Linked DNA regions of Schizosaccharomyces pombe. Changing the gene in region 4 together with the main gene of any one other region gives a genetic interaction. Each region holds a gene or a part of one and is shown on either strand. Other genes may lie near its edges. The genes, in order: SPOM_SPCC1494.08C, SPOM_SPAPB1A10.05, yar1 and wwm2.

What was found.
Region 1: mutations in wwm2 (region 4) and SPOM_SPCC1494.08C together harm fitness more than expected from each alone (negative genetic interaction), as found in Schizosaccharomyces pombe (one large-scale study listed by BioGRID).
Region 2: mutations in wwm2 (region 4) and SPOM_SPAPB1A10.05 together harm fitness more than expected from each alone (negative genetic interaction), as found in Schizosaccharomyces pombe (one large-scale study listed by BioGRID).
Region 3: mutations in wwm2 (region 4) and yar1 together harm fitness more than expected from each alone (negative genetic interaction), as found in Schizosaccharomyces pombe (one large-scale study listed by BioGRID).

Annotation. Positions count from the first base shown.
Region 1 is NC_003421.2:2,338,857-2,347,007, forward strand, and holds SPOM_SPCC1494.08C (uncharacterized protein), read right to left. Parts: upstream 3,779-8,151; 5' UTR 3,528-3,778; coding exon 2,703-3,527; 3' UTR 2,548-2,702; downstream 1-2,547. Other genes in the region: trm732 (tRNA methylation protein), read left to right, coding at 1-2,442; transcription factor TFIIH complex subunit Tfb6, read right to left, coding at 4,200-4,581, 4,650-4,741; transcription factor Adn3, read left to right, coding at 6,511-8,151.
Region 2 is NC_003424.3:1,863,028-1,871,493, forward strand, and holds SPOM_SPAPB1A10.05 (uncharacterized protein), read left to right. Parts: upstream 1-3,812; 5' UTR 3,813-4,107; coding exon 4,108-4,992; 3' UTR 4,993-5,224; downstream 5,225-8,466. Other genes in the region: mRNA export receptor Nxt1, read left to right, coding at 336-354, 407-735; protein dpc13, read left to right, coding at 945-1,333, 1,388-1,430; geranylgeranyltransferase type 1 alpha subunit Cwp1, read right to left, coding at 1,646-1,853, 1,905-2,581; dhx37 (ATP-dependent RNA helicase Dhr1), read right to left, coding at 5,225-8,466.
Region 3 is NC_003423.3:1,903,431-1,911,064, forward strand, and holds yar1 (ribosome biogenesis protein Yar1), read right to left. Parts: upstream 4,324-7,634; 5' UTR 4,243-4,323; coding exon 3,802-4,242; 3' UTR 3,595-3,801; downstream 1-3,594. Other genes in the region: SAGA complex, phosphatidylinositol pseudokinase subunit Tra1, read right to left, coding at 1-1,988; ubiquitin-conjugating enzyme Ubc7, read left to right, coding at 2,369-2,557, 2,954-3,011, 3,061-3,314; ribosome biogenesis protein Nop8, read left to right, coding at 4,702-6,138; AP-1 adaptor complex mu subunit Apm1, read left to right, coding at 6,750-6,811, 6,887-6,992, 7,063-7,634.
Region 4 is NC_003423.3:199,489-207,843, reverse strand, and holds wwm2 (protein wwm2), read right to left. Parts: upstream 3,386-8,355; 5' UTR 3,196-3,385; coding exon 2,374-3,195; 3' UTR 2,123-2,373; downstream 1-2,122. Other genes in the region: alpha,alpha-trehalase Ntp1, read right to left, coding at 1-766; protein wwm3, read right to left, coding at 4,877-5,308.

The DNA.
Region 1 (8,151 bases), on a different chromosome or scaffold from region 4:
ACGGTTTTATTGACAAAGTGTCTTTCTCTCTTCGATGAGGAGTTTACTCCTTTTACATTAAACTATTACGGTGAACTAATGATGACATGGTTATGGGAAATTAGACATCGTGGTGCATTCACTAGTGTTTATCCTTGTTTTATTGAATATTGCTCCTTTTTGTTCGAATGCAACAAGCACGAAATTAGTGAGCTACCAGATCCATGGTTGCATAAAAATTTAAGTGTGATTCAAGAAAAGTCGTCTTTTATTACGAGAAGGAGTGGTGGTATTCCTTTATCTATTACGGCCATTCTCGTAGCCGGAAAGGATAAAAGAGAACAGCTGATAGAACAAACGGTTATTTCTTTGATTTCTATTGCCAAGCAGCCAGTTGAACAAAAGAACATAGCCGGACAGTTTGATTTGCCTCAAGTCCATGCAATGAATACTCTTAAGACAATTTTTACTGAGCATCGGTTGTCATCAGTTTCAGTTGAATATTTAGAGCCTGCTATTGCTTTATCCATTGAAGGCTTTTCCCATGAGTTATGGCCAATCAGAAATTGTAGCGTTATGCTTTTTACTGCTTTAATTAATCGAGCGTTTGGAAGTAAAAAACCTAAAGATGCAGTTAACCTCGGCAACAACAAAGGTCTTTCAACTAAGATGTTTTTCAGTAAGTTCCCAACATTACATGATTACCTACTGCGTGAGTTGGAGGTAAGCGTTGCATCTTTATCTTCCAATGACCAACCTAGCACTGGACTGTATCCAATTTTGAACATGTTTTCAAGATTGCAATACGCACAACCTTATGGTAATGAAAATGAATGGACTGGTTTAAGTCAGTTTGAGCCACTTATTTTCAAATGCACTGCTAGTAGAATTTGTAAGGTGAGAGAAATAGCGTCTTTGTCATTGACATGTCTACTGGATTGTAGTAAAATGACTACTTTTATTGTGAGTCAGCTTAAGGGCGTCGCCGGATTACAACAAAATGAGATACACGGAAAATTGTTGACCATAAGGGCAGTGCTTTCTTGCTTCTTTTCAAAACTCACGCTGCAGCAAGTTCAAGAATTTTATGAAGTAGTTCCGTTGGCTTTTATCAATTGCTTCTTAGAGTTTACCTCCAGCAAGACGAGTTTTTATGCCAAAAAATTATTCCTGGAAGTCCTTAACAGCTATTTCATGAGTAATACTGATTCAAATGCTAAACGATTACAACAACTTAGACGTATGACTATGGATTACTGCAAAAGGATGTTATTAGATAGGAAGGCTAACGTAACAAACGTCTTTAATACAATCGGGCTTCCTATACATCAACAAATGGCGGCCACTATATTTTTGGAGAATCTCAAAGAATTCTCAGTGTATTGTGATGCGCATTCAATTGGTTTCCTTGTATCAAAATTGTTGCACTATGAGTTCTATGAAGTCCAATTGACCACGTTGAGAAGCATTGTTGATTCGCCGAGAAAGAAGATAATTGTTAATAATCCTGAGATTTTGCAAGCTTTAATCAAATTAACACCACGAAACCAGTGGAGTCAAGTTAGAGCCCTTGCATTATCGTTACTTTCGGATTCCTTGAACTCTACAAGCTATAGGCTTTTAGGAATTTCATGTTCAGATATGGTTTCCAACATCCTTTCAAATGAATGCCTACCCATAAAAGAAAGTTTTATAGTATTATTGGGTTCATGCATCAAACAACTAAAAACCGAAAACTTCCTTGAGTACAAGGTAACCTTTGCTAAATGGGTAGAAATACTACTAAGTTATTCCAATGAATATCAGCCATTTAGCTCTCGAAAGGCCGCTTTGGATTCCATAATACATTTTGATTTGTTCAACGCAGAATCAACAGCTGAAGCGTTTTCTTTCGAATTTTATATTCTCTACTTATTACTGGGAGACTTCCTTAACGACGATGATGAAGAAATCCGATCTCTGGCTGCAAATCATGCTTATCAGGTTTTGGGGACATCTGCACAATGTGTAACAGAAATTTGGAATTTATGGAAGCTACGTACCAAGGCAACATTTGGAGGACAACACGATTTTCAACACTGCATCAATAAAAGATTGATACTTGAAGACGGTTGTGAATTAGCGTCAGTCCAATTGGATAATGCTTTATCGCGAAACTGTTCTTTGTTTGAAAGAGAAAGGCAAAATCTTTATTATTCAGACAACCAAAAGCTCGAAGATTTACTTTTCTATGCAAGCTACCCAAACGAAAAATTAAAGGACTGGGCCACTGATGGTATAAATGCAATTCTTAGCAGGTTCGAAGATGTATCCCGAGATGGGCCATTGGGTAAGACCTCGGACCCCAATGTATGGTTTACAATTTACAAAATAATTCGTATAGCCGAACATGTTCATTTACCGCTGGATAGAGTACACAGTTTAATGAATCGTATAGACGGACATCCTAGCTTTTGTCAATAATTCAATTCTGATATTTAATTTGATTTTGTTAATAATAAATATATTCCTTAAAGTGAATTAATAAATTATTTTCTTACTCTTACAATTTTTGCAACGATGGCTAAGGTAAATATTAGTATAAATCAACTTTTTTACACGGATGAATAATTACAACAACTTGGCAAACGTTATTATCAAGAAATGTGGTAACGAAAAAATATCGTATGCATATATACATATATAAATATAAACAAAAGTTCGAAAGAAAACAAAGGACAGCATTAGGGAAGTCTTTTGTTCAATACTTTCTCACTTGGAAGTACCCAACTTTTTTGCCTAATTTCCAATGATATTAAATCTGTATCGCCAGCGGCGTCTACAATATCAGCTATTTTGGGAGGTTCGGCCCATCCTGTTCCACCAAAGAAAATGTCGTCTACAATCTCTCTGGTGTCATACTTGTTATTTCGGGTATGCATATGGAACACAGTGGTTTTTTGATTGAAGTCCTTTATCGAATGAAGCATTTTCTCTGCCCAAGCTGAAGCAAGCCCAGTCGATGTGTATACTTCATCATCGCGCCGTTTTAGCTCTTTACCATCTGTCAGAAGACCCGTAAGGCCGCTAAATACTTGGGGTTTCCCAAGTGTCTTGCTTACTCTAAAGTCCTTATTACCGGATGTTTGCTTAAGGCTTATTCCAATACGTATAGTGGCATTGATTTTACTGTCAGCAAGCAAATATTTTCTAGTGTCTTGACCGACATAAACATATTCGGTCAAGTTGATCTTTAGAATACCTAGACGTATGACACCAGAATCTGTATGAGAATCACAAAGCACTTGTAAAATTAAAAATTTATCTTTTAAAAGGTTATCGTTGTCGATTATCATACGAACGGACACACAAGTCTCGTATTCCCATGTGACGCGATGCTCCAATACAGGTTCAGCCTCGGTTTGGTCATTGGCATGACGAGAATGGATTCCTTCAATATTCCATTTCACGAAAATGACTCCCGTAATTAACGGAATATTAACTACATCGTGGATCCTAAGGTGAAGCTCAAAGGTAGGTCGACGCGCCTTTGGAATAAATATACTCATAAAAGCTGCAAATGCAGTTTCCTTAGGAAATGCAAATAAAAGATTTAAGAAAAAAAGCAGTTAATTTAGATAATTGGTTCATCCAACTTTTACCTATGTACAGAATGCTCCAGCGTTCAATTCTTGAAAGTTCTTAGATTTAATGGATACAAAACACGTTTTTCATACAAAACAATAAATAAAACAGTGAAAAGAGGAGATAGGAAACTAAAAGCTGCAAAACAAAAAAAACCCGTTTTAGTTGTTGAGGTGAAATTTCCTTCTGACGTATCGAATCGCATACTGTAAATCGCAGGTAACGAGATCTTCCGTCGCAGGTAACAATAATATGAAAACTCCAAAAATAAACAGTAGAAGTCGATTTCTTGCCAAGTATAATTATTGTTTTCGTAAAGGATGAACAGCAAAGAGAACATACATTAACTCGCTATTCAATCTCAAAGCTCACTTTCTGGATTTGGGCAGAATGGAAGACTGAAAAGACATTTACGGCAAGATGAATGTGATTAAAAAGAAGAGCGGGTACAAAAATATTATAATCTTTCCGAGTTGATGGTTCTTTTTTTTGACGTTGCAATTGTTTTAAAATACCATCGAAGTCACAAATGGCTACCAAAAGTTATAGAAAATTAGTCAGTAAACGGAGAAATAATGACGGGGAGAACAAATGCATTAAAAATCTATGCTGTTCAAACTCTTCTCAAAAATAGAGGCACAATCCATTTCGTATCCTTGAACGTCGCTCAATTTTGAAATAACAACCATACGGCAATTCTCCATCAGACTTTTTAACCGTATAGTATCTGTAGTAGAAAGATTTCCCGATTGTATGAGCCTTAAGCAAAGAGAATCCAGTAGGGAAAATACCTTAAAAGTTGTCTCTGGGGAGGCCGGAAATCCAACAATAGTGTCGACAAAAAAGTCGATACCTCGTAGAGTGAAATTGGTTACGAGAAAAGTATGCTTTTCCAAAGGAATAGAAGATACCACCTGAAAGTATGGTTCCAAATCAAATGCTAATTCCTCTAATTTTTGATAGCCACCGGGATGGAATCTAACGATACCAATGTTAGCAAATAAAAAGAGTGAAGAAGACTAGGCAAAACGAATTGAAAAACGTACTTCTTTTGGTATTTTTGAGACACGTCTAATAAAATCTCATCCAGAAAGTCGCGCAACTTGTTTAATTGGTGCTCAGTTAATTCAAGTGCCATAGCTGAATATAGAAACAGAAATTCCCTTTCCAGGAAAAAAAAGGGTCAAGCGATATTGATAACGAACTAAAGATCGGAAATTAAGTTGCTAATTAATAATGCAACAACTAAATATACATGAATAACTATCTAAAAAGTCAAGGAAGCGTATAAGCTTATACAAAACAAAATTTAGTTTCTGAAGAAGAGTGACTAGGGAGAATAAAACTCAATATCGACAAGAAAAGCATTAAAACCTTATTTATCTAAAAAATCAGTGAAAACAGAATTCTGTTCGCTTTTCTATATGACGGTGATGTTTGGAGAGGAAAGAGAGTCAATGACGACGATTTAGGGGTATACCCATTTATCAACATTAACCTTCTACAAAAAAAGTTCTTGAGATAGGGCAATTTTTTGGAAGCCGAAAACACATTTTTTATAAGAAAATTGTCTGACCACCACCATAAGCTGAATTTTCTCATTATTATCATTTTCAATGTACCCTCTATAAAAGAATATTTATTGAAATGTCATCGGGTATTATGATTTAGCATGCTTGCCTTTATTCTGTTTACGATTATATTTAGGCCAAATATGTCAGGCGAGTAAATGAAGTAAAACATAGCAATGTTATTTATTTAGAAGGGTAATTTATCAGACGGATCTAATAAATGGAAGCAGTAATCGAGATTCCAAGTTGGTAATGAAGAAATTTCTTGATTACTATCTATAGGCAACTAGCTCCTCTTGCTTAGCAAGTTTTTAAATAGCTAGAAGTCATGAATAAGTATCCAACGATCCTTAACTAATGCGAGAAAATAGTTGATCATAATCGAACGATGCGAGCTAGATTCTAACAAAGGTATAAAGGGATATGATAGTAAAAGCGGAACGTGAAGCTTGGTCGATTAAATTCAAATGAGCTACTTAAGATTATCTGTAGCAAGCTGTTTACTTTCGGAAGGTGACTTAGTCTTTTGCCTTTCGTTTTGCAATATACAGAATATTAAATTATTTAATCTTCATAGCTGATATCTAACGTATATCGACTAGTTCAGTAGCTGTGATAACGAAGTTTAAACATATCTCAGTATTCGGATTTGGTTTGGAGGCACACACTCAAAACCGACTATTTACGGCTTTATTACTACTTTTTTGCCTAAGCCTTTAATATATCGATATTTGAGAAGATTCAAGGAACGAGAAAGAAAATTTTGTTTTTAAAAAGCATCGAGCCTCTCTGACTGCTACACTGTGCATTCAATTTGAACTACATTAAAGACAACAGCAGCGCTATCGTTTGAGCATAAGAGCACTCGAATTTTAACGACAATACTGAATTCTTAATCCTTCCATGACCTATCTTTTCATCTGTTAAAGCATATATATCTTGCTTGTGCAAAGAAAGGAGCCAGGTCCAAAAGTCCATTTGAATAGCGCGCATTCTAATCAACCATAATTTTAAGCATCCATTCCCAAAATACACCTTTTCCTCAAAAAATATCTGGTCTTATTTCCTATAATTATTTTTATATCAATCCTTACCTGCGGTTTTTCATTGCACTTTTCCTCTTTGGTTTTTCTTTTTTTTTGGTGTTATACGCTGTTAATTCATCTTTGTTTTCTTAAATCTCTTAGCTTTTTGTTTTAAATCTTTGCACTTTCCTTTACATCTTTATAGTGTTCCACATTCGTTTCGTTCTCCATATTCCCAGTTTGCTTTTTCGATTTCATATCGCCATTTTAGATAAAATTGATGACATTTATTTAGCGTCAAGAAAAATACAATGGCTGATTTCATGGACATAGAGCCATCCTCTCATTCTGCAAAAGCTTCTCAATACGAATCCTCGGCTCCTGCGTCTTCTTCACTGGGTAATTCGCATCCAAACGAGTCTCTGGATTATTATATATACGACTATTTTGTTAAGCACAACTTTGAGGAAGCCGCACAGGCTTTTTTACGAGAGTCAAAAATTCAAATTCCAAAATCTTCTTCATCTACTGCCTTTTCACCTTCCAACAATAACGCACCTTCACCTTTCCCCCCAAAGAATTCATCTTTAGCCTCTCCTAGCAAAATTTCTGAATCGATTTCTGGTGATCGACTTTACAACCACATGTCATCAGCTCCGTCTCCCAACAAAAAGGAAGAAACCAATGTCGTACATGCTAACGAGGACATTTCATTAGATAAACGCCAGTCATTTGGATCATCATCCCTTCCCCCTTCTGAAGTTTCTATAAATGTTCCCGAAGGTTTCTTGGTGGAGTGGTTTAATATTTTTTGGGATGTATTTAGTGCGCGAGTAAGTCGTGTAAATAGCACGCCTATTCAATTATATGATCCTTCTACTCAAAGACAAATGGCCCGTCCCATGTCTAACCTCCAAGCATCTCAACCTGTTCCTTCCTCCACTTTTTCTCGTTCCGCTGTTGTCCCCAATCCTTCTCTTCCTTTAAATCCTTCTGTTTTACAGGGACAAGTGATGAATAACCCAACCATACCAAAGGGCACTCCTTCTACATCCATTGAAGGTGCAAAGACTTCTATCCCACCTTCTCATGCTATGCAAAATCCGCATAACTCTTTCCCTGCATCAGCAGATAGACTTCAAAAGAACCACCCTGTTCAATCTTCCAACTTTAACCCGTACACACCTGCACCTTCGATTACTGTCCCACCTAATTATATACCGAACACTGCAATGATGGGCCCTTCTTATTCTTCTTTTGGTGATACTGATCCTCGTACTTATCCTGCAGGAATGGGACCAAACCCTACTGCTGCTAGAAACGGCTTTTATCCTCCAACTCCGGCCCAGATACATCAATTAAAGGCTCAACAACAGCATCTCCAACGACAAAGCAAACAAATGTCGGAGCCTGCTCCTATTAACATGAAATCGAACAAAGATCAACAATTGCAGTACGTGGATTTTCGAGGTGTTGGTAGTGGCGCCGATCTTCAAAAACAGCAATGGAACAAATCTACTTCTGCTGAAGGTCTCCAGCCAAATGGATTGGTTATGAGGAATTTCGGGGACGTTCGCCATCAAAAGCTTCCTACCTCTTCACCTCCTTCGCAACATCCACCTGTAGGGCAGATTCCATCACAGTACCTTCCTTATCAGGCTGGGCTCAAAGTGCCAGGTAATACACCTATACCCGTTAAACAAGTAGGTGGTATGCCTTTACAATCACCATTACCTGTAAGTATGAAGCCTTCCGCAGATGACCATTCACGCGCTACTCCAACACGTTCTGTTGAAGCTCCCACTTTGCCGTCATACGCTCCTCGGCATCCTACTCAAGCAAATGGATCGAGGTATATGAACCCTTCTACTTCTCGGATGACACCTCAATCACCTTATATGCAGAATTACTACCGTCCTCATGCTCAAATGCAGGATCAAAACAACATGATG
Region 2 (8,466 bases), on a different chromosome or scaffold from region 4:
TATTTTTTGTTTTCATTTACAACAAATTGTCTTTCGAGTTATCATGTTACATTCGAATATATATTTTTTTACTAATATATTAATCATTCGTTGAGTTTTTACGTGATCTATGCTTTTGTAGTATGGCAAATGAGTACACATAATTGTTCTCCACTCTTCATGTTATAAGTAAAAATCGTAGTCATAAAGATATCTAGCCGAAATATCCATTCAGTGTGTTGAACAAAGATTATCTTTAAATATCGCTTAATGAGTACAATATTTCAATTTATAACACATGTACCTGTTTAAATGACTACTTACACCACTACAAATTTCTGTCATTGTGAATCATTATGGAGTCGAGTGTAAAATGTATGTTAAATGCCGCATTACTAAAGCTTTATCTATAAACTAACAATTAAAGATGCGCAGGAGTTCGTCCAACGGTATTACTCATCTCTTGATACGAACAGAAATGGGATCGCAGAATTTTACAGAGAAAATAGTTTGATCTTATGGAATGGAAAACCCATGCAAGTAACCGAATTTACCTCTATGATAGTTAATCTTCCATACTCCAAAACTAAAGTTGAGGATTTCGATAGTCAACAGGTCATGGGTAATGATATGAATATCATAATTGTTGTTTCAGGAACAATACGTTTCGATGGAAAAAAACCTCATGTATTTTCGTATGTCAGTTTTTATTGTATTTACCTTCTTGTACTAAGATCCTCTACTAACTTCCTTTAAGAGACAATATAGTTCTACAACAGGAAGAATCAAAGTATTATATTGCCAGTCAAAATTTTAGAATTATGAGTGAATAATACGTATCCAAAACAAAGATTTCATTTCGTTTAGAGTTTGTATTAATTTGCCGCAGCAAGCTTATCTGAGCGACACATTCCCTAATCCCTCATACTTCTTTAGAACACAAAATTAACCACCACCTTACAAATATGAAATATTGGAAGTATTTGTCTCAGCTGACTATCAGAAGGCCTCTTACATACAACAATGCTCTTCTGTATAGGAATAGGTTTCCTAGTATATTAACATGGAAGAGAAGTGCGACTACGCAACCTGACGACACTATTTTCAAGGATCCAGTAATGGATGAGCAAGTCCAGAAACTTGAAGAGAAAATGAGTTCATTAGTTGTTAATGATCCGGAACTTGCTCAAAAGGTTGGCCGTCTTCGTCAGTTTTTTGAGAAATACGGCCTTGAAGCTGGTTCAAAACCGTCACCTCTTACTATCCTAAAGATTACTCGTGATCCGGAATTCAAGCAGTTAGCTGAAACTATCACGGAGATATTTAAAAAATCTGGAATTCAAAATGATCCTGCGTATGTTTTTTTGAATGTATTCCATTGATTGTGCGAACACTAACATATCTATAGATTTTTGGAACTTGTTCGAAGAAACCTTAAGAAAGAAAAGTAAAAATATGCCTCTGACATTTTTTTTATTCTTTGTTTGGCCTAATAACCATTACTTGTTCACTATTATGTGAAACTTACAATTGGAGGAATGACTAATGTTATTGATTTCATAAACGATTCACTATACATCACAACTACTTTCTTAATTAGTAGGAATTTTAAACAAGATGCTTTATCAAAATATCAGTAAACCCAATTAGCATTCAAAGCATAGATTTAAGGATTGCTCCTTTGGGACATCCATGTCCATAAAGCGGCATGCGGTACGTCAACCTCATTTGCTAGTTTTTGATAAATCTCTTCAGACGACGAAGGCTCGTACATAGCTAAAAACTCTAAGAGTGGCTTGTGTAAAGCAGGCAAATTTTTTCGGAGATTAGCTATGAGATTATCAAGTTTTGAAGGTCCTGATTTGTCAAGTACACTGTAAAAAAGTTAATGAAGAATGTAATTAATGGAAATGAGAGATACTTACCCACACAAATAATTCCAAGCACTCTGATTGTCAGGAGCAAAAAGGATTTTGTCTTTCAGATAATTCAGTTCCTCTTCCAAAGACCAAGAAACCACCTTGGAGGTTTCAAACAAAACATAAAATCTATGATTCCAAGCCGAATTGTTATAAATGTCTTTTTCCAATAATTCGTTGGTTAACTTCAGCTCTTGAGAATAATCATTAAAATTTTGCAAGATCCAAACTCGGTAGGACCAGACATGATAATTTTTACTGTCAATTTCAAACATCTTTTTCGTAAACTCAAGTTCACGCTCATAATTCTTAGTCAAAGAAAGTATTTTTTGCCTATGATGCCAAACCTGGTAGTTTTTTTGAAAATCTTCGGCAATTTCATCGAGCCATTCTAATTCATTGTCTATGTAACTGGGCGTGTGGTTTAGGATTTGAAATCTATAAGCCCATACTGTATAATGAGCTGGATTATTCATAATCAAGAAACCTGTTAAATTAAGTGCTCTCAAGGAGTACTCCTTTTTAGCCATAATGGCACGAAAATAAGCCATTCCTTGTTCATATCCTGTCGTGTAGCAAATTTTCGCTAATGGGTTTTCGCCATCATCCTGAGGAATGGGTGTTAATGGTCCATATTCTGTAAAATCCAAAATTTCATTTAACTCGGGATCAATGGGATCCATTTCATTAATTTGGCATCCGTTGTACAATTCTCAACTCAAAGAAACAAATACTTAAAGGCCGAAAATTTAATTATAAGTGTTTTATTAAAAAGGATTGTCAGGTTTTTCTAAATTATCAACTCGAAAAACAATGAGTCTCTTTGTTTAGTGCGTACTATTGTTCAGGTGTGATGGTGGGTTAACTAAGGAGAGTAAGTAGATGAATAGTGAGTTAGGATTACCATGTTTACAATATGTGATTTATTTCAAACTTTTATCATAGTCTTTTATTAATTTTATTGTAGGCAACGGAGTATATTCATAAAACTTCAAACGTACAGGTTATATGAGTATCACCGACCAATTCGTGGTATTTCAGTATTGCCTATTAATTAAACCGGTGTTATATTTTCAGTTTGAGCACAATAAAAAAAACATCAAGTACATCAAGTAATTGCAAAACCCATCTAATTTTAAGTAGAGTATGAAATGTTGTGAGTTTATAATAATACCTAATTCATGTCCTGTCCGGATAGATGCGCTTTGGTCGTACAAAACGAATGACTAGTGATTACAAATTGCCTATGAGAAATCTGTATCTTCAGCATCCTAGCGATTAAAACTGATGAGGATTAAAGAGATTCATGCAAATTATTTGAACACCTATATAAAGCATTGAAGGCTTCTGGTGAACAACACGATATAGAAAAATATATTGATATGCGTTTCAATGATTATTTTAGTTTAAAACGAGAACCTAATCACCAGAGTCATGAAATGTCATTTGTTAGTATCTCCAAAAAAATATATAGCAATGCCGAAGCAAATTATTTCTTTATAATCTCCTGATCTACTCAATTTTTAATTTCTTAAGTTGAAATCTGACATTCCGATTATTTACATATACTTACAATGAAATGTTGCAACAATAATAGCATTTAAAGCATTTTAATATTTTTTAATTGATCCAAACCTTCCATTAATATTCAGTAAATTAAATTAACATCTTAAAAAGGGTTCGAAGCTGCTTTGAAAAGTCATGTCAAATTTATATTACTACTTACTTTTCCCTTACAGAATATATGACCAACCAGAATTTGCGCTAATAAAAATTTAATTAAAAGTAATTAAAACGTGTCTTCTAAGAAAGCAATGACTTCTAAATGTTTTCGACTTTGCTGGATTTTTCTAGATGGTTAATTATGCTTGACTTCATGCACTAGACGAAATTTAGATTTAGCTCATAATGTGCAACCTTCACCAACATAGATGACTGAAATTTTATTGAATTGAAAAACTCAAAAATTAACTGATCTTTATTTGTCGGTGTTTTTTAATTCAATTTTGAGAACGGGTTTGTGGGTTTGTACTTACCGAAATAATTTAGAACTAAAGGAAGTTACTACGGCAGTCTGTATTACCTCTAGGTTTTAGACTAAAACATCATAACAGATTTATTTAGATTTTTTTCTCATTTCAAACATTATTTATTACTTTTTGTTGTCTTTACATTATTTTGTTTTTAATTTACTACTCGCATTTCGCCCATGAAGCGTCAAAGACCACAAGACTCTATGATATCTGTCCCGTTGCAAAATGAAAACAGTACGACCACTCCAACTAAAGAAGTTAGTCATTTAAACTTTCCTTTGAAACGACCGCGATTGCATTCTTTTGTCCCAACTTCCAAACAAGCCGCTTTATCAGACATAACTCCAGACACGCCTCCTGCCTTCAAAACTCCTTACAGTAGTTTGCCTTACAATTTGGTTCCCCAGAATTCTAGTACTAGCAAAAAAAGACCAAGGGCAGAAGACCTGTTGGTTATTGAGCCGTCTCAAAATAGCCTTGTTCCTAGTACACAAAATAATGAGTGGAACGAAATTGCTCGAAAGAGAGTATCTTTAGAGTCCGATCATCCTGACAAATCGGGTCAAGTTATTGACCTTGCAACAGGGCAAATACTCGACAAGCAAACAGAAGATATCGATGATGATCGAAACAAGAGTGCCGTATCAAAATCCCTCGTTAGACATCCTCATCGCTTGAAGATGCTTCCTTTTGGTATTCAATCCGCACATCCTTATATATCTTCCTTGAATTCTAATTACCCAACGACTTGGCATTTTGCTTCACATTACTATCCTACAGATAGTAAACAACTAGTGAAGTATCACCCTACAGAAGTCCATCCTTCATGGACGGTTGAAGAACCAGTACATTATAATACCTACGATGGAGTCGTCAATGAACCGAATAGTTCGGTCATTATTGAAGAGCTTGATGATGACTATGATGAACTTAATGATCCTATGAATAACAACGATACCCCCATTACTAATTCCACTCATTCTGCTCAAATGTCTAATCTACCTACTCATGATAGCATGGATATTGACATGGGAGGTGCTGTCCCTTCGACATCTACATAAGTAATATATCTTATGTTCCTGTTAACAATTTTGAGTCCTTTATTATTATTTTTTTTTTTGCATCCCAAGTTCCAAATCTCATATCAAAAACCGTATCCCAAATTATTATTTATGTCCCTAATATAACCAAAATCACATGTGATCAATCTAAAAAATCTAGCTAGAAAAACTGTCATCAATAAATTTTTGTTTCTTCTAAATTTCTTTTTAAATCTTGAACAAAATGATAAAATTAACAATTCACCCAACGCCCATTAATCCGTTTTTGTATGATTTGCACGGCTGGTAGATTCCACGAAGGTGATCCTGTTCCAATATTGGCACTTAGAATAGGAATAACCCAGCACTCTCGTTTTGTTGCATTATCCAGGTACCGAATTGGTGGATATGAAAGGGGTTTCGAGTAAGACAAAAGAGTAGTATTTTTAGCAAGTCTAGCCAAATGTTCTGGGCTGATTTCAGTTAAAGGAGACATGTAAACACGACCACTTCTGCTTTCATGTAGACTAAGATAGACAACATATTCAGAATCAATATTATAAGTTCTATCAGGTACGAATTGAACAACCTCGGAACCAGACGGGAAAAGTGTAACATATCCACGCTTCTCTTTATCATATAGAGCAACTTGATCAATATATGCAGAAGCAATAAATTGTCTGAGTGCTTTAATTTGTACACTAGTTGGAGGCTTAAGCTGTAACTTGAAAAATTCTTTTTCGACTCTAACCATATATCTTTTTAGTAGACCAATAATTTGCTTACGAAGATTGGTGACTTCTTCCAATGCTTTTTCTCGCAGATAATTCTCTTTACAAAACTTTCTCTTATCAGAAGCATAGTCATACGCACACACAGCACTTAACAAACTCAAGGCAGGCGCATCAGGGTCTATAGCTTGAAATCTCGATATTGCATTAAAGTATCCACGCATTCTATTTTTATATTCTTCCTTTTGCTTGATTTCGTCATCATCAATCAGATCAGTTTCTTCGCTACGAGAATTTTTGTCATGAGCATCATATAAAAGAGATTGCTTTGACACAAAAAGCTGGTTTATAGACAATGCTGAAACCAATGCAATAACATAAGGTAGGCAACCATGCTGCTGACCAATAATTAACATTTTCGAAAATCGAGGAGACAGAGGAAATAAGGACATTTGTTCTCCTAGTTTGGTAAGAACCCCTTCGCTATCAATAGCCCCTAGATTTGACAAGAGTTTTAACGATTTTTCAAGCCTACTACGACCTGGAGAAGTTGGAAAGGGGAAATTTGCAATGTTATCAATGTTCATGTTTTTCATTTGAAGTACGATGCTTTCGACCGGAGTACGCAGAATTTCAGGCAAAGAATGCAAGGGAAAAGAGCTATCAAACACCGCAGACGAATATAGACGATAGCAGTGACCTGGTCCCGTACGACCAGCACGACCAGCACGTTGATCAGCATTTGCTTTGCTAATCCATCGTACTTCAAATTTTTGAACAGAAGTCTTTTCATTATACACGCGCTCTTTTGCCTTACCACAATCAACAACGTATCGAATATTAGGAATGGTAATAGATGTTTCGGCAACATTGGTAGCGACAATACACATACGATGACCTTCTGGCGATGAATCAAATACCTTCATTTGGTCTTCGGTAGTTAACAAAGAGTAAAGAGGAAGTACATACATAGGTTCAGATTCATCATCATATGTGACAGAACTTGAAGAACTTGTAGGCACTTGATCTATATCTTCTGTTTCAGATTGCAAATCCTCGTTCTCAACGGACATAGTTTTTCTCGATACTACAATGCGTGCACGAGATTTTAGAGGCCTAAAAGAGCGTACAAACCGCTTTCGCAACATTTGGCAAAGCTGCTCAACTTCTTGTTGACCTGTCAGAAACACAAGGATAGAGCCTGCCGGGAGTCTTTTGTGTATTAAGCATACTTTATCAAATGCATCTTGAAGATAGTCAGGTTTTGTTGTGCGATTAAAGTGAATAGAAACAGGGTATTGTCGTGCATCAATCTTAATAATTGGAGGCGGTACAGAGAAAAGAAGTTTATTTTCAGAGAAATCAGTAACACGAAGCGTGGCTGACATAATTATAAGCTTAAGGGGTTTGACTTTTTGGTCACTTTTGCTCATTTCTCTTCGCAAACGAACAATTCGACTTAACAAACCTAATAGAATATCTGTGTTTACACTTCGCTCGTGAGCTTCGTCTACAATTACTGCTGAGTATGCAGTTAAAAGGAAATCAGAGGATAATTCTCGAAGCAAGATTCCATCAGTCATGAATTTAATGGCGGTATCCGGATTGATTGTACTGTCAAATCTGATTTGGTAACTAACTTTGGAAGAAAAACCAGTCAGTTCTTCAGAAACGCGTTTGGCAATACTAACGGCAGCAACTCGTCTGGGTTGTGTAATAGCAATCATTCCTGGATTCTCTGATTCAGGAGAGGAGAAACCTGCTTCGAAGAGAAACTGAGGAAGTTGTGTAGTTTTACCACTACCAGTAGCACCACAAATGATAACAACATCATTCGCGAAAATTTGCTCCATAATCCTTTGCTCTTCAGCAACGATGGGTAAAGCTAATCTACTTTCTTGAATTTCAGGAGGACGATTTATAATAGTATAAGTCGTTTTTCGTCCCTTTATTTCGATATCGTCTGCTGTGGGTTCAACATCCTCTTCACGCATTTTAAGTTTCCGAGGCATGCGCTGGGCACGAACCATATCTGCATCAGGGTTATCAATTTTGTTGTCAGGAGCCACATCATGACTTTTTTCTCCAACATCTGCTCCAAGGATCTGTTTATTTGCCCAAGACTTAAATCGAGAGGCCCGCTCGGTAGCGTCATCACTGGAATCATCTTCGGAGGTCTCTAAATCAAAATCTTCATTTTCAAATTCAGGATGTCCAAATGAGGGTTGTAATTTTTGTTCTGAGCGTAAATTAACTACATCTTCAGGCACCGTTTTTTCTGCATCCTTAGTACTAGGCTCGTTAGTGTCTTTATTCTCTTCTGAAGAGTTGTCAGAATCCTCTGAGAATTCCTCACTATCTGTACTTAAATAATCTTCCTCAGCAGAATCATATTCGGGATCTTCATTTAGCATTTTACCCCAAGAAGCATTTTTTTTCTTTTTAGGAGGAAGGACTTTAATGTTAGGAGTAATCTCACTTTCATTAGTTCCTGTGGAAAAACCAAACCCAAAACCAGATCTGGTAGAATACTTTTCTGGAGCATTGGTTTCAGCTGTACTGCTCTTTGTAGTTGTCGTTTCAACGTCAACAACTTTGTAAAGTCGGCTATCAGCGTCAGATAATGGAAGTCCCAATTTTTCTTCCAAGAGTGATTTCTTTAACTTCTCTTTTGCAGTGGCTTGCTTCCCTAAATTCTTTGAACTCGAAAGTAAAGACGTGTCTATGCGTTCTTCTGCTAACTTTGCGATAAGTGAAGCTACCT
Region 3 (7,634 bases), 1.7 Mb from region 4:
GACAGCACGATGCCCGTGCAGTTGACAGAAGTAACTTCATTAGACATCCAAAATTGGAAAATATGCAATAAAGCAAGATTATCTACTAGACACTCAAATATATTCGGAAACTCGGATTCCAAAATTTCGACGAAAACAGATGGGTCCAAGTGTAAAAATAAAGTTGCTAACATTTCTAAGAGCTCCTTCTCTTCTAAGAGTTTAGAAGGGTTTGTGGTCAACGAAGAATCAAGTTGAGAGTATGCAAGATTTTTCGAGGACTTGAATACACCGGTTTTTTCATCTGTCTGGTAATAACTGAATCCCTTTAAACTTTCCACAAGTAATCTTCGAAACAGTAAAACTTCATTAGTTGAACTAAGATGTAACTTTTCAGACCATTCCTGAGCTGTAAAAATGGAACCGTTGGCAAGAGGAATATTTCGTTGCTTTAGTCCAAACAAAACAGGCTTAATACCTAATAAGGTGTTTTTAAAAAGAAATATGCAATCTTTTAGCTTATCCAAACCTGAAGGTTGGGCAGCTCCAGTAGGGTTCTCAAACATAGGAAGATCATGTTTATTTTCTTCTATTTTAATTTGCTTTAAGTCAGCATTTTCCTGTAAAGAATCTCTCAGCTTCATAAACTCGAAATTCAGAGAAGTCAATTTTCTTAAGAGACATAAAAGTATAGCAAATAGAAGTGATCGGCTAGTGGAAAAATCTTCTAGTGCAACAATTCTTTCAACCAAGTTTAAAATAAGCTTTGTAGCCATTGCCTGAATAGCTGAAGTATAAAAGTCGTCCATCAAAATACTGAAATAAAGAAGTATGACTTTGTAAATTTGTTGTGGACTTAATTCCATACGCACATAATGAAGCATATCTGCCAGCATGCTAAAAGCCATGGGTCGTAATGAATGCTGAGAAGTGATTCCAGAACCAACTAGAATTTTGGTATCAAGTAGTTGATCTACATACGGTAGAAACCCTCTCAAATAATCCGTCGATAAGACGTGCCTTGTAGCTACCAAAAGTTCTCTTCGAGTCTGATATAATTCGGAAGGACAGTCCATGAACAATTGCAAGGTACATATTGGGATCGAGCTTTCAAACTGTTTAAGAGCAGCACCAAAACTTCTCAATAAATAGGCGAGAAAAGAGAATGATTTAATTTGCGCAGAAATAAGGTCATTGTAAAGATGATTTCGACGCAAAGAAGGGACTACACCAATAAAAACCTCTTTTTGAGATTCTGCAAGTCGACGAGCTTCGGCTTGAGGTGGAGGACGAAGTGAGATAAATTGAAGTACAAGCGGAGCAAGTAAAGGAAGCATTTTCGGAATAAGATCTTTGTATGTTTGAAATAGGAGAAAGACGATAATGGGAAATTCAGCAGTGACCTTGAAACTCGAAGAAGCTTTTGGGATCATTTTTGGACCTGCATGTTCCATTCCAATTTCAGCAGGAGATGCAGAAGATGCAGCAGACATGGGATGAGAGGATGGAGTATTCGGAGCTGATCTAGGTGGGAAAGCTTCTGAAACAACTGTGGTCATGGATTTGTAGTTTTCAACGACAATGGATAAAAATTCCTGAACATGTCCCTTAGCAAGGCTACTGTGGTCCTTAAAAAGAAGGACAACAAGCTTCAATGCCAACACTGCCATCTCTTCATTATCATTAACGACTATACGAAGAAGCACGGCAAAAGTCCGATTAACGAATGCTTCAAAACCTTTATAGGATCCAGATTTCTTGAGCAATTCAAGCAATGCAATGCGTAAACGATGTGTAGCTGCTAACGATGAAAATACAGGACGTTCCTTTTCAAGCAAAGACAACGTGTCCTCCAAAAGAGGAATGAAAGTTTCAAAATTCGTCTTTTCAGTTACCAACACATCATCCAGTGCATCTCGAATTTCAATTGCTGTGTTTGCCTTTTGCTTCGAGTCTAATCCAACATCACAAAGCCGATTATGCCAATGTTCGCATTGTGATACATCCATCAGATGCTTGGATCTCTGCGCAAGCTCTTTTTTAAATTCCAATTGCACTCGGATACGTTTTCCTAAGTATTTAACAATTACTATTGGAATGTTGTGGGATAGAGCAAGCTGCATTTCTTTCCTCTAAATCACTTTATGAATTTTACATGTTTTCGCTATTTTAATTAACGGCCTTATTATTTTGTGCGGTAGAAGTTGCTAAAATGATGAACGAGATAAAAATAGCGAGTGATACCACAAAAGTTCGTTTAGCCTCAGCTGCATAATTTGTCGTAAACAAACCATTCATTCATTAATCTGTTCATTACCATTTTTAGGCTACCTTTTAGTCAGTGATCTTTAATATATCTTACCGATTAGTAAGTTAATTGATTTCCAAAATGAGTAAAGCTATGGCGTTGCGACGGTTAATGAAGGAGTATAAGGAGTTAACGGAGAATGGGCCTGATGGTATTACTGCAGGTCCATCGAATGAGGATGATTTCTTTACTTGGGATTGCCTAATTCAAGGCCCTGATGGAACTCCATTTGAAGGTGGGTTATACCCTGCTACCTTGAAATTTCCTTCCGTAAGTCCTTTACTATAAACCTGATGGAGACTGAACATGTGATTTAAGTTGTGGATAAGTATGATGTTTCGCATGTTTTATGTATCAACTACTTATTAAAAAATACGCGCTCTTTTTCATAAATTAACATTTGTTCAGCGTAAATAAAGAAAGTAACTCAATAATCCATTCGTTTAGAATGATCATTTAAGAGAAGTGCTTTTATTCATTAGTAATTGATGAATCCTTCGATTTATTGATGAGTAGGAAGAAATTTTATTTAAAAGATCTATCTAAGTTTTTTTTTGGGGGTTTGGTTTCTTTCTTTGAATCGCATGGCAGTACATCCGGGGTGTTCAAGCGCACGTTGATACGTGCTTAGTTTTATTTTTATTGGATTCTAACTTTTTTATGTAGGATTATCCTCTTGGCCCCCCTACTTTAAAGTTTGAGTGTGAATTTTTCCATCCAAATGGTATGCCAGATACTATTAATCCAAATTTCGAGACTAACCTTCATTTCAGTTTACAAAGATGGGACGGTTTGCATTTCCATCCTACATGCACCTGGTGACGATCCAAATATGTATGAGTCGTCTTCAGAACGTTGGTCTCCTGTTCAATCTGTTGAAAAAATACTGTTATCGGTAATGTCGATGTTGGCGGAACCAAACGATGAAAGTGGTGCTAACATCGATGCGTGCAAGATGTGGAGAGAAGATCGAGAAGAATATTGTCGTGTAGTTCGACGATTGGCTCGTAAAACCTTGGGATTATAACCATGAATTGTATATTTGATTAGATTGCCATGAATAACGAACCTGATAAAATCTAGAAATAAAGTTTTGTTCCATTTTTGAACGCAACCGGTAGGCTTTTCTCTTTCTATTCCAACGTATAACGCTACATAGGTTTAATTACAAGGTTTAAACAAAAATGAAAGCACTTTTCCAATTCAATTTCTATCTGTAAATGATGGAAGATAAACATTTTGTCTATTGAGATAATCCATCTTTTAATAAACATCACTTGAACTTTCTACACAGATACATGGCAACGTACATCGCTGAAAACGAATTATATTGAGAAAACATCTAGAAATTACACAGTAAAAAACTTAACAAAATATAAGAATAACCCCAAATTATGCTCCAAAAGAAAAAAAAAATGCATCAGGTGCATAAAAATATTAGCTTCCCACAACCTACAAAAGAAAGAGGTAAATTTTTTTACAAAATAAAAATCAGAAATTATCAAATAAAACGATCATATTCCATCTTCCAATTTTTCTTCATCACCAGTGTTTTCTTCACTACCTTTAGCAATCTCAAAATCCAGAAAAAGGTCCATTACTTTTTGCTGATTTCGAATATCAGCTTCATATATAGGTGACTTCTCATAAATATTCTTAATATGAGGATCACCTCCCGCTTCCAGTAGTAATTTGCAAATTTCAGCATGTCCATTCAGTGCTGCCCAATGCATTGCGGTGTTTCCACTCTCATTCTGAGCATTTATTACTTCTTTATTCAAGTACGGGATTATTTTTTGAACAACAGCGATGTGTCCATTAGCACTAGCCATATGAAGTCCAGAGTTACCATTTTCATCACGACGACTTAATTCTTGTGGACATTTCTCTATAATCTCATCTAGTAACTCCTCATCCGCAGCTCTACAAGCGTAAATTAAATCATCAACATCCATATTAAACTATCCAATCCAGTAAAGAAGGATGTTTTACCGGTTTATTTGGAAAGAGAATGATGTGAAAACTGTTCGTTTGTTAGTGTAAGGTAGCCGCGGCTTCTCCAACTTGGCTTCGGCAAGGCCGTGGTTACTTACTACACCACAAATTCCATTGCAATTTTATATAATTATTCAACGAGAACCTGCCTTCTACAGCAGGTTAATTTTTGATTTATAAGAAGGAGAAAAAGAAGTTACAGGAGTGTTTATTTCCGAAAGTCATAGAGATTTAAACCAGTATATATGCTTTCCTTGTAAAAAATTTCATTGCTCACACAGCTCTCGATTCCTCATCTAAATAGCTATCTGGTAGCGATTGGTAGACTATTTTTTCGGGTTTATTTCCCATTATATTTCAGACACTCTTTTTGACCTGCGAAACTTTTTGTCCTCATTTTGTATCAATTGACTTCAATAATGGAGTTAGAAAAACGGATTTATGTTGGTGGCCTTTCATCCTCTATTGAATCTTCAGATTTGGAATCCAGATTTTCTCGTTTTGGAAGTGTTTCAAATCTTGAAATTATAAACAAATCTACTCCAGTAGGAACTATACAACGATTTGCATACTTGAATTTTCGAACAGATGAAGATAAATGGCAGAAATGCAAGTCTTACTTATCAAATGCGACGTTTAAAGGAAGTAAACTTCGTATAGAGGAAGCTCGCCCTTATTATTTAGTAAAATTGCAGCAGGAAAAAAAAATTGCTGATCTTCAAAGTACTAATAATGATGAGAAAAATGAAGATCACTCCAGCAAAGTTGATCTGGAAGACCCAGTCTTTCATGGAGAAATAATTGTTCCCGGAAAACATAGTAAAAATATGCAGGTGGTCACGGATTCTGATGTTCGGAAGGATCCTCCTAGAAAAGGTTGGAAAAAAGGCCCCTATGGAAGGGCCATTGTCGTGCTTCGAATGTATAATAAAAATACTAAGAAAACGAGGTTTTTTTATCCGCTGGGTAAAAACTGCTTACAAAAACTATGGGGCCGAGTGGAAACGAATATGGACAATACTACAGCTTTTTATGATTCTGATCATGATGAGTATGTATCATATGGGGGTAAGAGAGCTTCTCGTGACAAAATACGTATGCAAGCAAAATTGGGTATCAAAGCTTCTACTCAGAAGGATGATAACGATTTTGAACTTCTTAATAACACAACTGGGGAGATTGAAGTCACAAAAGAATTAAACGAAGAGCAATTGGATGCTTTGCGAAAAAAAGATAAGGATACGGCTGCATCTGTGTTAGCTGAACTGTTTGGTTCTGAAAATACAGAAGAAATTGATACCGTATCTAAAACTTCAGGTGTTTTGGAACTGGACAATGATTCGACTAATAATTTCCAAAAAGAAGGTTTGGATGAACAAGATAATTTACAAAAGGAAGAGTCCGTACACATAGATGTTCCTGCTGAATTTGAAGCATTTGATGAGCGTACTGCTGTTGTTAACGTTGACAATTTAAAAGAAATGTTTTCTTCCAATGCGCAGGATACGTCTAAGTTTTCTCTTTTTGGCAATGAAAATGGAGTTGGTGAGGAAAGTGAAATGGAAAGTGAGATTGATGACCGTAATTACGAAACTATGGAAGAAGAGGCAGATGGGGAAACTCCGCTAGCTATAGTTAAAGCCTCATCGGGTACCAAGGGTTGGCCAAAAATGTTTACTCTACCCAATCCTTCTTCCCTATTCCAACCAGGTAATGAAGATTATACGAGCAGAGAAGCTCTTGAATCCTGGTGGTCGGAAAATCGTCTATTCTTAACTCGTGATTACAAACGAAAAAGAAAAGATGCCGTAAAAAGACAGCGAAGGGCTCATGAAAAGCGTATTCGACTTGTTTAAAGACGCGTATAGGTTATGTATTTATTGGGAATTTATTTGGGTATTTTAAGGTTACGAGGTATATATTGATTTTTTACACACTTTTGGAATCTTTACGTTGTTATTTCTCTATCCTTTTTATTTTAGAAAAAAATCTGTGTCTTTTTAAAAAGCCACGATGTTCACTTTGGTTTTATCATTGGTGAAAGTTAACAACTTTTTTCGTTGCACTTTCTTGGGATTTGTGGCTTTTAATATTTACAATGTTTGAGATCAAATTTTATTAAAATATTTGTTATTCTTATTGTTATAAGCCAAAGTTGTCAAATAAAACATACCGAAATTTTCTTACATTGTCAGAAAAATTATTTTCCTTTTCGGCATTTACAAAACCATATAATGTAAATTAGTTATAATTATCTGAATAGATTATCTTATAAAAGAAGACTGAATGTGTGCATAGAGTAGTAATTACTCAATATAAGAAGAATTTCGTACTATATGTAAGAAACAGAAATAGTGAATTACGCTGTATTACACTAGCGGTGCTTAGGCACGGTGATGAGGCAGCCAACAGTCAATGCTAGTTATCCAGAGCGAAACTAGCTGCCTTATTCGCGGCTTCTGTAAAAATGGCTTCTGCTATATTCGTTCTGAATTTAAAGGGAAAGGTAATCATTTCCCGTGATTACCGGTAGGCAATTTTGAAATCTGAATGAAAATCAGATTGTCGCAATTCGTCGACAGGTTACTAACAGAAAACAATTAGAGCTGATATCCCCATGTCAGTAGTTGAAAAGTTTTTACCTTTAAAATCAGAAGTTGAAGAAGAACAAGGATTCTCCACCCCTTGTCTCACTCACGAAGGCATTAACGTATGTAAAAGTTAGATATTATGAAAGCCAACAATTCTTATTTTTTTATGGTCGTACTAACACTTTTCAGTACATTTACATTCACCATAATGATGTCTACCTCCTTGCTTTATCCAAAATGAATTCCGATGCAATGGAGATGCTAGTATTTTTGCGTAAAATGGCGGACGTTTTTATAGATTACTTTAAAGAATTGCAGGAAGAGTCGATTCGAGATAACTTTGTTCTTGTTTATGAATTGTTAGACGAGATCATGGATTTCGGTTTTCCACAAACAACTGAAACAAAAATCTTGCAAGAATACATCACTCAAACCTCAAATACGGTAAAAAAGCATGCTCCACCCCCCATTGCTATGACAAATGCTATCTCCTGGCGTTCTGAAGGAATTCACTATCGTAAGAATGAAGTATTTTTGGACGTTATTGAATCAGTTAATTTAATTGCTGCTGCCGATGGTACGGTCATTCAAAGTGAAATCTTAGGAAAAGTTCGTCTCAAATGCTACTTATCAGGAATGCCTGAACTTCGTCTTGGGCTCAATGACAAGGTCCTTTTCGAAGCGGCTGGTCGTACCATTAAAGGAAACACTGTGGAAATGGAAGATGTGAAATTTCACCAATGTGTTCGTCTTGCTCGATT
Region 4 (8,355 bases):
GTAACCCTGGCTTATCATTTACATCTCTCACCCATTCTGGAGTAATCTCTTCCGGCAGATATTCGACCTGTAAATTCAAGTAAGGCCTTTCCTTAGCAGCGCGAACATAGTATTCATACATCTCTTGTTCGGCTTTAGGAACATAAATTCGATTCACGTGTGATCCTGATCGGTCTTTGGTATCACGGCAAATAACATCCAAAACACTGGCATCGATTCTTCGAGTAAGGGCATCCCAAAAGGTACCTTTGATGAGTCTAGAAAGTCGGTTCACAGGGTTTTCATTAAGTCTTCGCTCATCAAGTAAAATATATCGACGTCCATAATCCTTTGCCAAGGTCAATTCCTGAAGTAAATTTGACAATTGATATGTGCCGCGAAGCTCATACAAGCGATATCCACCCGAGCTAGCGCTGCCAAGGGAAACAACTTTAGGTCCGGTATCCTCGATGGTGATTTGCATGTTCCGGTCGGTGTCTTCAGATTCCAAAAGTGCATTCAATGTCTTATCAACATCAACAAGAAATTTTCGTGGTTGTTTATGTTCATCAAGACTTCCACGTCGACGTAAATTCTTTAATTCTGGTATAGTTGGTGCGGCGGATGCCTCCATCGAAGTGGATAAGGTGCGAGGACGGCCAGCACTTACCCGAGTCGACAAGTCTGTATCCTTGGAGTAATAACTCTTAGCGGTTGCAAAGGGATTGTCATCATCATTTGAAATGGCTTCTGTATCCACGTATTTAGAGGAAAATTTCGAAGGCATATGAAACAAACTTATTCGTGTTAAATATTTTCACTATTAGATCAATGTATATATAAACTTCTTTAAAAATGTATTTTTTTTCTCTTTATTGTTCCTATTCACGAATGATAGCAAATGATGGAGAACAAGGTTATTCCGTTGATGGCTTCCGTTTCCTTCACTACAAGCTAACGATATATCAAAAATTCAAAAGCTCCTACGAGGAATACGCTCACTTTCCAAAGCAATTCACAAGATAAAGTGTTTTTTTTTTTAAAAAAACAAAACAAAACAAATTCCTGCTTTTTCGTTCTAAGCTATAAAATAGCAAGCAAGATTTCAGAAAATCGACACTAATTACGTATAAGGAAAATCCGTGTCTTTAACTGAATTTGAGTAACTCTACCAAATTCTTAGTACCCCAATAGGTATAAATCGTTAAATCCTAAAAAAATTTTAAAAGAACTGCTAGTTTCTTCTATGTATCAGTCTATAATCCTGTCGTTGATATTTGTGGTTTGGAGTTGCTAAGTTCTCATACATTCTAAACCAAATTTACGCTGATGTAGTTCGTTACTCAATGACGTAGTCTACCTGACACCTATAGAGCTTATGGAAGTTTAAGGATGCGGCAATAGGATAGCAGCAACGGTGAACACCATCGCTATAATCAAAACAATGAGCTGAAACATAGAAAGAAGATACGAGAAAATTGGCTAATTAAGATACAACAGTAAAAAAGGTATATACGGACGCCTCTGAAACAGTTATCACTGATTTTAGTGGTACTATTGAGAAGGTAATGAGTTTTGTAAAGAACCACAATATTCCGTATTTTTTAACATTGAGAATGCTCTATTGACTCGTTATATACCACGAGATGAAACCCTATGTATGTGTAGTTTGAATGCGGCACTGTATGTTGTTCTATCGGTTTTTTTTTTAAACTTGCACTCTTCTGGTTTGAAATGATTTGGCTGTTATAATTACAAGTTGCAATTCGGTTAATTAGCGGTACTTACCTCTTCTATGTTAAGATAAACATGTACTTTTAATGAAGAAAGTATACAAATCTGACGAAGTATTGGGATAAAAGACTCTGAACTAACCGATTTACGCAATATTAATAGAAGCTAATCTGACAGCTTTAAATTTCAAATTTCAGATTGTATACAGCCAAAGTATACACGTACGCATTTCGAAGTAGACTGGGTTTGACGTGTGCGAGATAATGAACATAATAGATATTTTTTAGAATCTTTTAATACTTGCGCATAAAATGTTACGTATGAACAAGCATGAATTGTTTCCACAGCTATAGATACAGCACTTATGTTTACCTATATCTAAACTGTTGCATTGAATCATTCCTACATAAACCTAAAAAACAACAACACAGGGATATCAAAATTGCTTGCTTGCGAGCTTTTCTATGTGCACTTCTAAAATTGCCCAGCTCTACTTAATACTTTCAGAAAGTCCTACCTTAATAAAATTCAATTTCACTTTAGCAAAATAACTGAGTATAAACATAAAAAATTTTTTAACGGTATCGACTTAATATCTATTGCGCAATATACTCACATAAAAAGCTCATAAACAAATATTTAGTTCCATGTTTCTCAGTCTCACCAACCAGGACCGCCATGACCTCCAGGACCACCCCCAAAGCCTCCGGGGCCTCCTCCAAAACCTCCAAGACCGCCTCCAAAGCCGCCAGGACCGCCTCCGAAGCCACCAGGACCGCCCTCAAAACCTCCAGGGCCGCCTCCAAAGCCACCGTGACCACCATGATGATGGCCTTCACCTCCAAAGCCTCCAAAGCCTCCAAATCCACCAGGACCAGGAGGAGGACCGCCAGAACCACCACCAAAACCTCCGAAACCACCACCGTTATGACCACGATGGTGAAAGAGATTGCCAAGTGCGTGTGAAGCCAGGCCACCTAAGGCCAATCCACCTAACCCTGCAGCGACAGGAGCAACGTAGCTTGGTCTACTGTAAGAGTTGCCAGTGGTGTAGCCATTAGAAGAGGTAAGCCCACTGAACAGCCCTTTATCACTACCATCTGCATTGGTAGTGGTAGTGGCAGCAGCATTAGGATAGTATGCAGCATTGGTATTGGCAGGGGCATTGGGGTTATATGCAGCGCTGGTAGTAGCGGCAGCATTGGTAGTCGTGGCAGTGTTAGCATTGGCATTTGCAGCAGTATTAGCATTGTATGCAGCATTCGTATTCGCAGCAGAAGTATTGTTATTGTTATTATACACAGCTGTATTAACGCTTGTGGCTCCTGGAGGAGGAGCAAGTTTCAGATTTTCGACTGGTGGTTCCCATTGGGGCTGTGGATTTTGAGCTGACTCGTTAACATAAAAGTATGTTCCATATTCAGCATCCCATTGAGCAACCCATCCACTGGGCAAACCTTCACGAGTTTGATAGACAGACATTTTTTATATGATTAATTCTGTAAAGACACAGAGTAAAAACCTATATAAACGATATAGAGGCTTAGAAAGATTCTAACCAAAGAAAAGAAAAATGTTATAGGCAGATATTCAAAAATCACTCTCTAAGATCTATATACTTAATTTTTCGAGTATTAAAGATAGAAAGTTTTGGTGGTAAGCTGTATCTGTTAGGGAAAAGGAGAAATCGCGCAGTGGTATAGAACGATTATAAAAGAAATGAAAATCTGATACGCTACAGATCATTACATAAGAGGCTGATGTAGTGGTAGTAGCATTATGCAAATTTCGTTATTTTACTATATCGTGATTGCCCCAAACCATAATTCGTCATTCCTAGTTTACGAATTTACGAGTTCCATTAAAGTGGTATTAACGTGTTTTTAAAAGTACTTCACTAATTATCGAAAGCTGTTCATGGAAAATAGACTGCCAATTTGTTTTATTCAAACTCAGAATATCAGGGTTTCACTAATGCTGCTTGACTTGAAACATAGCTAATTGAAAAAGGAAAATTGCTCTTATTACCCTTTTTAATCGCCGGCTTTGCTTAAAAACAAACGGTTTTGCATTGCTATGAAAACCCTCGACATTCATTTGATAATTGCCAGGTACAAATTTACGTATCCTTACTGAATAATCGTAATATGAACAAATAAATGTTGTACCGTAGATAATATTTCTTAATTTTGAAATATATTAACTTTTCTTATTTCATTATGTGTATCCAAGAGCCAAGTTATATTTCTCTTATTTTAAACAGCTTGATAAATACAGGTTTTAAACGATTCAAATGATATCTGTTTGTCTTTTAAAATAGTGGTATGACATCCCATAAGTGTAAAAAAAATTTTTTTTCTTTCTGCCTTAATTTTTTCGGAATTGTGCATTTAATCCAAAACCAAACAAATATCTGAGTTTGCCAATTATATAGTCAGTAATACACCACTATAAACTATTCAACTAAAATACCCAAAAAAAAAGGACAACTAGTAATGAAAAAACAATGATAATAATAAATGAAAGATATATAATTGACTATTTTAAATCATGCATAATAAACTAATTTAACGTCTGAAAAAACAACCATTGATTTTTTAAAAGTTTCAAAAATTGTGCTTCACCCAATTTTTTACAATTAACCAAAAAAAAATATAAATAAATAAGTAAATACACGTCGAAGTGATAAATGCCAAAAAAATGATTCCATCGACAACCAACTCCGTCGATATTCACACCCATTATAATATATGCTCCTTACTTCTTTGGTATTAAACAGAAATTTTATAAATTAGACCGTTTTCCTCGAAATCCCAATAAAGAATGCAATGGTACAATAAATAAGGAAGCTTGAAACAAGTAAAGATCAGATGATAACAAAATTAATATAAGTAAACAAGAAATTAGGTCAAAGAACGACTAACAGAATATAACAATTTTAGAACGATTAGCAAAAATAGTATGAAATTTCAAGGGAATAAAAAGAACTTCACTGGATATCGTGTTTTCCATTTAACAATTTCGAAAGAGTCGTATACGTGAATTTGGTGATTCTATTCAAAGGAGAAAGTGATGTTCTCAAAAAAAAAGAGCGATTCCATAATCAACGACCATAGTATGTAGGACGAAATCGGAACCAAATTTAAATAAAAATCAACGCTTTTCATCTGCGGCCACGTCCACCACGTCCACCCATGCGTCCACCACCGCGGCCGCCGAAACCACCGTGAGGACCATGAAGTGGGCCATGATGGCCACCACCGATTCTTGGACCAAACAAAGGGCCTCTGGGAGGAGGAGGGGCGTAGTAAGCACGGTGACCACGAAGAACACTGCCGGCTAAAGCTCCAACCATGAAACCTCCTAATCCAGCCGTCATAGACCGTGAGCCGTCAGAAGAGCGAGGCACGTCCTTTTGATAGACGACGGTAGTGGTACCGGGAGGAGGAGGAATATGCAAGCCTGGAATAGGAGGCTCCCACTGTGGTTGAGCACCTTCAAACGTTTCATTAATGTAAAAGTAAGCTTGATAAGTTGGATCCCATTGGGCGACCCAACCAGCTGGCAAGCCCTTGTAAGTTTGATAAACAGACATCTTTCGATAAAGTAATTAATGAGAAACTGTAACTTAGAAAAAAAGAAGTAGTGAGAAGTAGAGTATGTCTGTTAAGAATTATTAATAGACAGGCACAAATGTCAAAAGAAAAAAAGAATTAGCAGCGAAGTAGAAACGGTATGTATAACAAGAAAGAATTTATGATCTCGTTATAGTAAGAATGAAGAAAAGATTAGAATAACGAATGCTTTGAAAATGAAGCAAGTAAAAAAAATGATTGATTGAAATTAGATTGACGAAAAGGTGAGGAAAACTCGCAAATAAATAAAGCTTTGCATTAGGACATAGCCGACGGACAATACGTCACTTTTGTGGGGAAATGATGAGTTATTGCGTAGTTGTAGTGTGGAAGCGAGTGCGATTTGAACTCTTTTTCTTCCATCGGAATAGAAAACATATGAGCGGGGCCGAAAGCTGCCGCAATCTATTTTGCGATTGTGTACCCGATATCCTAACAGCAAAGCAGTGAATTGGAAGATGAATTTACTACAATATCTGTAGTGTCTTTTAGTTACATTCAGAAAAGAAATTGATACGAAAATGTGCACGCTAAAAGCTCAAACCCATGTATACTTATGATCTTCCAATTGTACAAATTATTGCTATTTTCGCTAGTCTATAGATCGATCAGCCATTGACGTCAGCGCTCGTTTAGTATTTGAAAACAAACGCCAAGTTAGGTGTTTGTTTATTAATGTGTTTCTTTGGGTATATGAGTGTATGAAAATTCGACTCAAGCTCCTGTTAACACTTGATCTTTCTTTTGAATCGCGAATAGCATTGACTCCGATATCTCGGTTCAATTTTTTTGAGTAAATAGTAAACGTACGTTTCATAAAACTAACTTTAACAAAAAATTATCTACTTAGTGAATTAGTTCTCACTTGGATAAATACTTGTTTTTGTCAAGCTTTTAGCATGGTCAATTGATATCAAAAGGAACTCACTCCAAAAAAAATCGACCCCACTTGGGTCCATGAACCTCTCTTGTCTTGCATCTCTCAAGGACTGGATGGATGTGGGGGTTCGGGGAATCAAGAGTTTTCAATGGAGTAAGTGCAATCAAATAAATCAAAGCGACAAAGGATTAGAGCGAGGAGACGAGAAAAGATGGAAATACAATGAGTAAATTCGTATTAAAATTGATATCGTTTTAACGAAGGAAAAGAGAAAGTTACTCTACGTAGGTTTGCAAAAAAAAAATATATAAATGTAGATGTAGATGTAAAATTAATGTTAATGAGAAATTTGAAATTAAGGAAGCATAAATAGTATGGAGACATTATAGTTAATATGGACGATGAGTTAAAAGGAATAATTGGTTTAAGTGAAGCTAAAGAAAAATAAAAATAAAAAAATAAAAAGATGTCATTTAATATTAAATTTAAAAAAGACAACACACACATAAGAACTATTCAATAAAATAAAATAAACACAGTACAATAAAATAAAATAAATAACGATCTAACGAAACAGGAAAAAAAAAAAAAAATAATATATTACAAACAAAAAACAATCTCAAAAAGCTATCTTATAATTTGAGTATCCTAACCATAATATTTATTAACTCATATGTAAGTTTATCTTGGTAGAAGCTTTACCTTTAAGAATTGACTTCATTCCTACTCGCATCGCATTTGTTGCTTCTATTTTAGAGATAAAAGCTCTTTTAATTGAACTTATGCTTTTACCAACACGGCACGTGAATCAAGTTAGAATAATAGTCTAAATGTCCACAAAGGGTGGTTTCTCGTTCTATGAATAAATATAGTAGTAGCTTAGTGAAAATTCCACGGGACATTAGTTTATATAAGAATAAAAGTGAATGTATGAAAATTACATGTGAAGAATAAATTTGTGGTAAAATACACGTCTTTTAAAATATAGCTAATAGCACACATATTTTGAAGCATGCTTTATATCCTGCTCTTTCAATGCAAGGTTATTATCCCATTCTGAAGCCACATACCATCAACCCACGAAAAATCTCGTTAAATAAACAACACCAAATTTCCTTATTGCTAATAGGAAGGGCGGGATGAAAACAATCAACCTCAAAAATTTCTCCCTCTCTTTAATTACCTGGATGACCAGTCATTATAGAACGAATTTATTTTCTCCACTTCTTTCTATATCTTAAGGTTCATTTCTCCTCCTACTAACTACTCCATCCACCCACCCACCTTTAGCACTTCCCAATCATCTACGTCACAAAGCATTAGTACTCATCATCGAATTTCACAATTTCTGATTTTCGTTGCTGCATTCCAGCACACTACACTGCGCCATTTAGCTGTATAAGCCATGTTATGTTGATTCTGAGTTAACACAGGTAAGAAGACACATAAAGCCCACTTTAAACTTGAACTTGTATTCGTGTGCTCTAAAACGTACAACACTATACCAAAGCAGCACGAGAAAACAAGTTCAAGTTTAAAGAGACATAATAACACCTACAGCTACACAATGGCGATCAATCATACACAATTGCTAGACATCAAATCATAGGCAATTGGGGTCGATCTTATGTAATTGCTGTGGGTATGCAATTGAGGTCGGTGATGAAAGCAGCGGTCATGCTCGCCTCTCAATCCTTTACGAATGTATTAAGGGAGTGCCATGCCATGCCATGCCATTTTCTCAGTCACGTAAACCTCGATACGATACAAGCTCTAACCTTCCCATCCCGTATTTACGTTTTTGCAGTATTATAGGAAAGATGAATAGGGTGGAATGAGTCCGCTCTAGCAATCGTTTGGTAAGCCGGCTTCGTTGAATTGCAGTATGTCATTTGTTTAGCAGGCTGAAACAGCATTGCCCTGTAGTTTTCATTGCAAGCCCCTCGTTTTTTGAAGATTAGGTTTATCGTGTATGCATTTTTAATTAAGCGGATCACTCAGGTGGGCGTATGAAATAGGGATTTGCCATAGTTGTCCATTCAACTAAAGATTAGATTGTTAAAAGGCTTATGATTCGCGGAACTAAACATAGCGAATACTTCATATGCTGGCAAAACGTTGTTTACA